Canis lupus familiaris: one gene and its partner. The protein of the gene in region 2 interacts with the protein of the main gene of each other region in a biochemical or structural test. Links are inferred from orthologs where the notes say so. Each region holds a gene or a part of one and is shown on either strand. Other genes may lie near its edges.

The links. The genes of interacting proteins can lie anywhere in the genome.
Region 1: the proteins of PLG (region 2) and THBS1 form a complex in vitro, tested with the Homo sapiens proteins (2 studies listed by BioGRID). The link is inferred for Canis lupus familiaris from reciprocal best matches to the Homo sapiens genes PLG and THBS1.

What each region holds. Positions count from the first base shown.
Region 1 is NC_049251.1:7,054,110-7,058,040, reverse strand, and holds the start of THBS1 (thrombospondin-1), read right to left. Parts: upstream 2,801-3,931; 5' UTR 2,717-2,800; intron 2,223-2,716; 5' UTR 2,194-2,222; coding exon 2,127-2,193; intron 1,873-2,126; coding exon 1,313-1,872; intron 406-1,312; coding exon 330-405; intron 23-329; coding exon 1-22. UniProt on the Homo sapiens protein: Adhesive glycoprotein that mediates cell-to-cell and cell-to-matrix interactions.
Region 2 is NC_049222.1:50,062,226-50,065,725, forward strand, and holds part of PLG (plasminogen precursor), read right to left. Parts: intron 2,132-3,500; coding exon 1,950-2,131; intron 168-1,949; coding exon 19-167; intron 1-18. UniProt on the Homo sapiens protein: Plasmin dissolves the fibrin of blood clots and acts as a proteolytic factor in a variety of other processes including embryonic development, tissue remodeling, tumor invasion, and inflammation. In ovulation, weakens the walls of the Graafian follicle.

The DNA.
Region 1 (3,931 bases), on a different chromosome or scaffold from region 2:
AGGGTGAGGAGGACGTTGGTCGCTGCCAAGAAAGAAAGGAGTACGATGAGAAAAGTATTGGCAGATCTTCACACAGCTGCTCTCACAAGCCAGTCTCTCCCTCCCCCGCCCCCACAGTTCCTAATTGTAAAGATAGGACACCTGGGGTGAAGGATACACAAGGAGCAGGTGCATGTGTGTGGATTACTCTGAAGTCACTTGGGGTTACCTGGGGTAATTTATGCATGACTACCACTCCCTAAGGTTCTCAGCTTGTTTTAGGTGGACTCTCCTGAATGTCCTCATATGACACCCCCCCCCCCCCAAAAAAAAAATAGAAGAGTACTCACAACTGGAACAGCCTTTGTTTCTGAGAATGGCTTCTGGTGTGGTTCCAAAGACAAACCTCACGTTCTGCAGCACCCCCTGGGGGCAGAGGACACACATTACTTGTAGAGTGGTGGGGGTGGGGGTGGGGGTGGGGGTGCAGTTTATTCCAGGAAAAGCGCACAACAGAAGTTCTAAAATTTTAAAAGAGCTCCCTTTGAAGATCACCACGTCAAAATAACACACCAACGTCAACTGCCAAACAACTTCACAATCTTAATTGGGTTGTCCGCCAAGTCTTGAGTACTTTACAAAGAAATCCGTTATCTGCCTACTTGGGTACACAGGAAATGGGATCGGATACTAAGGACAGAGGATTTAATGACACTCTCCAGTGTCAAAGAGCTAGATGTGGGAGTTTCAAAGCCACAGTGGCAAAAACCTAGACATCCAGGCAAGGAGGAAGCCGCAGCCGCAAATAGCCACTATTTTAACCTTTGGGGACCGGCTCCTGAGACTGGCTCCAACCCCATGAGGAATCAAATGGCAAAGTGGTATTTATTCTGCTCTCCGTATCCATTTCAAGCTACATCACAATTGGCAGAACGATCTGAAAAAAGCTCTTTTCTTGAGGAGAGCATAAGGAGTATTTAGGACTTGAACAGGTGCTTATAGGAAAACTACTTGTTTCCTTTAGCGGTCTTCAAAGTACGGCACGCCCAGAACACAGGCCCCAACAGCTTGTGAAGCCCCAGCTTCACCTGGAATTTGTTAGAAACGCAAATGATCAGGCCCCATCCCAGGGGCACGGAATCTGAACCTCTGGGGATGCGGTGCAGCGCGCGTTTCACCGAGCCCTGCAGGTGATTCTGGTGCCCCTGGAGGCGTGGGAAGCACGGCTCTGGTCCAAAGGCGGGATCTCCTGTACTGGAAATCCCTGCCTCCCCCGCTACAGCCCTCCTGACAGGTCAGCAGCCGACCCCACGAACGGGAGGAGAGGCCTCACCTGGAAGTTGTCGTTGACCCCTCCTTTCGCGATGCGGAGTCTGGCCACGCTGGCCAGGTCCCTGGTGAAGATGCTCTGGATGGGGACATCCAGCTCGGCGTTCTCCATCTTCTCACAGTCAATGTACAGCTGGGCCCTGTCCTCCTGCACGAACAGGGTGATGCTCTTCCACTGGCCGGTGGCCAGCAGCGCTTCTTCCACCGACACCACGTGTTGCATGCCCTGCACGGTCAGGCTCAGGTCCAGGGTGCCGGCTCTGCCGTTGGAGACCACGCTGAAGACCTGGCCAGAGTGGTCTTTCCGTTCTATGGCCAGCAGCGTGCCTCGGGTCTTCTTCATCTGCCTCAGGGAGGCCAGGAGAAGGAAGCCTTTCTCTGCGCGCACAGCATCCACTAGGTCTTGGAACTTGTCATCAGGCACGGGGGGGATCAGGTTGGCATCCTCGATGCGGAAAGCTGGGCTGGAGGGGTCAGGACCCTTCACCAGCCGGCGCCCAGAGCCCCTCCGGGCAGCCCCCGTGAGTTCAAAGATGTCGAACACGCTGTTGTCTCCCCCAGACTCTGTTCAACAGGAGCAGGGCACACAGTGAGCCAACTAGGCTGAGGCCGGGGGTGCGGGGCAAAAGGGCAGGGCAAGAACTGGGCAACCACTGGAAGAACTGAATCCGCACTGTGGTCGGGGGAAGCTGCCTGCTGATGGTCCCCGAGGGCGCCGGGGGAAGGCTGGCACAAGAGAGCACGGGAGGGGGTGTCCTCGGGGTAACCGGCACCTCCTCATCTGCCCTCCCCGCTCAGAAGGTGTTACCTAGACTCACCTGGAAGGCGGCTGGAGGCGCACACACGCAACAGGAACAGGACGCCGAGTGCCCAGGCCAGCCCCATGGTGGAGCCGCTCGTGCCCAGCCGGGAGCCTGTAGCGGGAAGCAGACCCCGGGGTCAGAGCGGCCGCGCAGGGAGAGCGGGCACAACCGGGCGCCGGGCTTGGGGCCAGGGCCCTGGCGGATCCCCCTCTGGCCTCACGTCTGCCGGAACGAGGGGCAACAGTACTCACTTTGGACGGGGCATCAGGAAGAAAGAGTGAGGGGGGGAGACGGGTTTTAAAGTCGGGGGCGGGTGGCGCTGGGGCAAAGACCAGCAACCTGGGGGCTCTGGCTGGGGAAGTCGAGGGGGGGCAGGAGATGCGGTCTGGGGGCGCGGGGAGGCACGGGGAAGTCGAGACTCCCCTCCCGACGGCTCAGAGAGAGGTGTGGGGAGAAAGAAAGTCCTGGGGGGTCCTGACGAGCTGGTGTGTGAACCCCACGGCCGGAGGGGGGAGCCCGGGGGCGCGGGGCGGCGGGCACCGGGAGACCCGGGCTCCCCGAGGGCCGAAGCCTCGGGCTCAGGGCGGCTGAGCGGGGCGCCTCACCTGTGCGCTCGGGTGCAGCGGGCCGGGGCGGCGCCGAGTCCGGAGAGGCGCGGGGCGGGAGGCCGCTCGAGGCAGTGGCTGGCGGGGCGGCGGGGCGGTGCGCCTTTAAGGGCGCGCGCACATTCCTGGGGTTGCCTCCGGCCAATGGGAGGCGGCGGGGCCCGCGGGAGGGGGGCAGGCTGGGCCCCTGTCTCCGCCCCCCGCCGCCGCAGCCTCCCTTTCCAGCCGGAGTAGCGCGAGCGGGCGGGGGCGGGGGCGGGGGCGGGGGCGGCGGAGTCCCTGCCCCAGGAGCCCGCCCACGCCGCCTGGACGCGCGGGCGCTCGGCGCTCGGGCCGCGGGAGGCGGGAGGGAGCCCCGGGAGCCGGCACCGGCCTTAGCCCCCGGGCGGGGGCGGGGGCGGGGGCGGGACTTTGGGGCAGAGCCGTCTCCCGGAACACCTGGGCCGCGGCTGACGCTCGGGGACCGAGCCCGTCGGTGAAGCCCAACGATCCCGTCGGGGGTAAATGGGACCCGCTGGGGCTCCGGCCGGGGCGACCCTCCTCCCTCCGCCCGGCGGGCGATCGCCGCTCGCGGCCCCGCCGCCGGGCGCCCAGGGCCCCGCCGCCGCCCCCCGCGCTGCACGGCGCCTCCGCGGCTGGCCGCTTGGGGGCGGTCTTGCACTCGGATGGAGGGGCCCGCGCCGGCCGCCGCCTGCTGGCCGCGACCCCGGAGGGAACGGCCTCCTAGAACCTCCCTGCAGCCAAAACGGGCTTTGCGGCTTGAAAAACAGTTTCTGTGCCCACTCGTGCTTCTTAACGTGACTCCTGGTTGGAGGACTTGCGGAAGCATCTGGCTCTGGGGTCTTAGACTATTCACAGAACAGGCCCATCAAGTAATAAATTACCCTCCACCTATCATCTTATTTCCTTTTTGCCTCCCTCAACGTTCTTTTCATTTTTTTAGCTCCCGAAACCGAGGGGTGGGTTACATTTCTGTGGGTGCACCAACTACCACGAGCGCGGCGGCTCAATGCTTCTGTCATTGGAAGTCTGGTCTCCAAACCACTGTCTCAAGCCAGCATGACTCCAGCTGCCTGGAATTCCATTCATCTCTTAGGGCTGGGATGTCAGCAGCCACACTTCCCCCGCTGTGTCCTGCGCCATCGGGCTGGCCCGGACGGAGACACAGGACGCAGGTAGGAGCTTTACCAAATAAGGAGCTCAGCCACAGGCAGG
Region 2 (3,500 bases):
CAAATCAAAGTGGCTTACGTTTTTTTCCAGACCAGCCTGTGGATTTGTCTCTGGAGTGAAAATACTGTGTCTGTGGGGCTCCTGGGCAGCCCACTCCTGGCATGGGATGCCCATCACAGTGGTTGCCTTCTTGCCCCGGTATCCTTTGCCGTTCCCAAACATGCAGTCTGTAAGGAAGAGGAAATGGGCGGTTATGTGTTACTGCCCAGACCCAGGATGGTAGGGAAGATAGGCCATCGTGCCAGGACTCTCTAATGACAGATTCTGTGGTCACATCACTAAGGCGCTGGAATGCTGACAATTACAGCGAACACTGCCTATTTTACCAGGTTACTAAAAACGCCTGGGAAATAATCAGAAGCCAAAATGTTAGCGTGGGAATTTTGGCCAGGACACTAAGTGAGTCAATTTTATAATAAGCTGAGTGGTGAGACAGCACCCAGAAGATTCGCATAAAGCAGATGCTGCGGTGAACTGTCAGATGACCCTCAAACACCTGGTTCTCAAGGCTGGGTTAAAAAAAAAAAAAAAAAAGAGTGCAAATTGGAAAGGATTTTTATCCAAGATACTATTTTGGCTAGAGTTGGGCTGTGAGTTCCCATCCTTTGGCATGAAGGGCTTTATCCGCAGACGGCTTGGGGCTCCTCCTCCAAGCCCATCCCTTGTCTCGAGCCTAGGGAAAAGAGGCTTCCACAAAAACCCTCGGAGATCATGATGCATGTCCCATAAGGGGACCCAGGGCACCAGTGCTCTGATGGCCACTTGAAAAATCCAAAATGCAGAAGCTGGGCCAGCTAGCTTCTCTGCCCGTGGTCTGCAAGCCCGATGTTTGCCAGGACCGGGGTAAGGGAGTTACCCAAGCACCAGATGGGGGGAAGGCACCTGGGGGAACCATGGTAGACCGTCTCAAGACTCACCCACGAGGGACACCCAGATGGGCATGGAGCCCGAAGCATCACCAAGAGAGAGGGAAGAGAGAGGTACCAGCCTGTTCAAGGAAGACTGGGCCAGGTTCTCCTCTGCAGAGCAGCCAAGCCCACTCAGGACAGAGAGGGGTGCCAACTTCAAACCAAAGTTCTCGTTTTAACCCCCACCTATCTGCAGGACTTTTGAATTATCTGAAAGTGACCAGGCAAGTCACGGAGCCGGAGTTTTCATGCTGGGGCCGGGGGTAAGACAAGCACGGAAGCAGGTGCTAAGCGCTCAGAGCGGCTCCCCGAGGGCCAGGGAAGCACAGAAGGCTGTGATTATTTCCTGCCTCCATCTCTGTGCTCAGTGACCCTGCAAGCCACGTATCGGCTTTGCCAGGTTCGTGCTGGAGAGCCGGGCTTGACTGTCCTGCGAGCACTCCCAGTTCAGTCTGTTCAAAACCAAGTTAATCGGGATCCCTGGGTGGCGCAGTGGTTTAGCCCCTGCCTTTGGCCCAGGGCCTGATCCTGGAGACCAGGGATCGAGCCGCACGTCAGGTTCCCTGCATGGAGCCTGCTTCTCCCTCTGCCTGTGTCTCTGCCTCTCTCTCTCTCTCTCTCTGTGTGTGTGTGTGTGTCTCTCTCTCTCTGTGTCTATCATGAATAAATAAGTAAAATCTTTAAAAAAAATTAATCATTTCCATGTCTCCGTGGGGGAGGCAAGGATTTGGTGTTCTAGCAGGTACCATTGCAGCCGGCGCTGCCATCCTCCACCTCTCAATCCACGCAGGCTCGAATTTTATCCATCCCTCCAAACCACTTGGTTTTCAAGTCCTAAAAACACAGCCCGCCCACGTTACACCAGCAATAGCGGCTCTGGCCGCCCCGATCCCGGATGCCACGCCAGGCTGGCCTCCACTTGGCAGACCCTGGGCTGCGCTCGGTTCCCTGGAGCAATGAAGCGCTCTGCCTCCGTTAGACGGGCCTCCTCTTATCATCCCGGTGCCCAGGTGGCCAGAGGCCTGGGCACAGACATCCCACCTGATGCAGAAGGCTCCTGTCCGCTGGGAACTTGGGGCACAGCAGGGGAGTTGGTGGCGCTCGCCTCCGGGTCTAAGCATTTTCTCAAGTTACAGAACTCCCAGCGCACAGAGGGGTCGGTGGTGTAACACCAAGGGCTTTTGTCGGCGTCGGGGTTCCTGCAGTAGTTCATCGTCAGGCCACTGTAAATTCCACAACACAGGTCAGGAGGGTGGAGAATCTTTCAGGGCACCCCGCACCCTCAGCCTTTTGTCATAATAGAGTGCTAATCAGTGACTTTGAAACATTTCCATTAAAGATACTGCACGTACCAGTTATTATTATAATGCGACAAACAGATGGCTCTCAACTTCCGAACAACTGGGCGCACTGAAAACATCGATTACAATTTTTATCTCAAAAATCAAATGTAATATGTGCTCCATATAAAAATTGAAATAGGGCAGCCTGGTGGCTCAGCAGTTTAGCGCCGCCTTTGGCCCAGGGCGTGATCCTGGAGACCCAGGATCGAGTCCCACGTCGGGCTCCCTGCACGGAGCCTGCTTCTCCCTCTGCCTGTGTCTCTGCCTCTCTCTCTCTCTCTGTGTCTCTCATGAATAAATAAATAAAATATTTTTTAAAAACTGAAATAATATATGTGTATAAATGAAAGTACTCAAATGTCTTCCTTTCCACGGGCAGGGGTCGTACATCTCCCAGAGATAACCAATACTGTATTTAAAGCTCACGTTATTAGGATGATTTCCTATGCGTGTACAACTGTGTCTGTATCCCTCTGTAGGAACACATAGAGCTGTATAAGTTGAAACTAAAACTTATTTCCCCGAGGGATGACATCATGAGGACACTCTTTGGCCAGTACCCTCTGTCCACTGACTCACAGTGTTGCTAAAACGCTGTGCACTGGGACACCTGGGTGGCTCAGGGCGTGATCCCGGGATCCGGGATCGAGTCCCACATTGGGCTCCCTGCTGGGAGGCTGCTTCTCCCTCTGCCTGTGTCTCTGCCTCTCTCTCTGGGTCTCTTATGAATGAATAAAATATTTTTTTAAAAAATAATTGTACATTTCATACTCCACACAGCACGGAGGAGGGGGGTGGTTGTTCTATGATCTTGGCATCACTTATCGTCTGTCGTTCTAATGGCAGGCACTGCCAATGGGCTATTGTGGTTATAACTTATCTCCTTGATGGCTAAGATATTGAGAATTTTTTTAGGTACTTAATGGCCACTTGTATATCTTCCCTGTGGAATGCCAGAGGAAGTTCTGTCCATTTTTATTAGGTAGGAAAAATATTTATATATCTGGATGTAAGCCATGTCAAATATATGCATTGAGTATATTTTTCTCCCAGTCTGTGACATATCCATTTTTTTTAATAGTGACTTTTGGTGAGCAGGAGTATTCATTTTGTTAAAGTCCAGATTAGACATGTTTTTCCTTTTATTCCATCTTTTAGGTCTTGTCTAAAAATTTTTGCCTTCCTGAAGGCTATGAAAATATTCTTTTATGTTTTTGCCTGGAAGCTTCATAGTTCAGCTTTGGTTTTA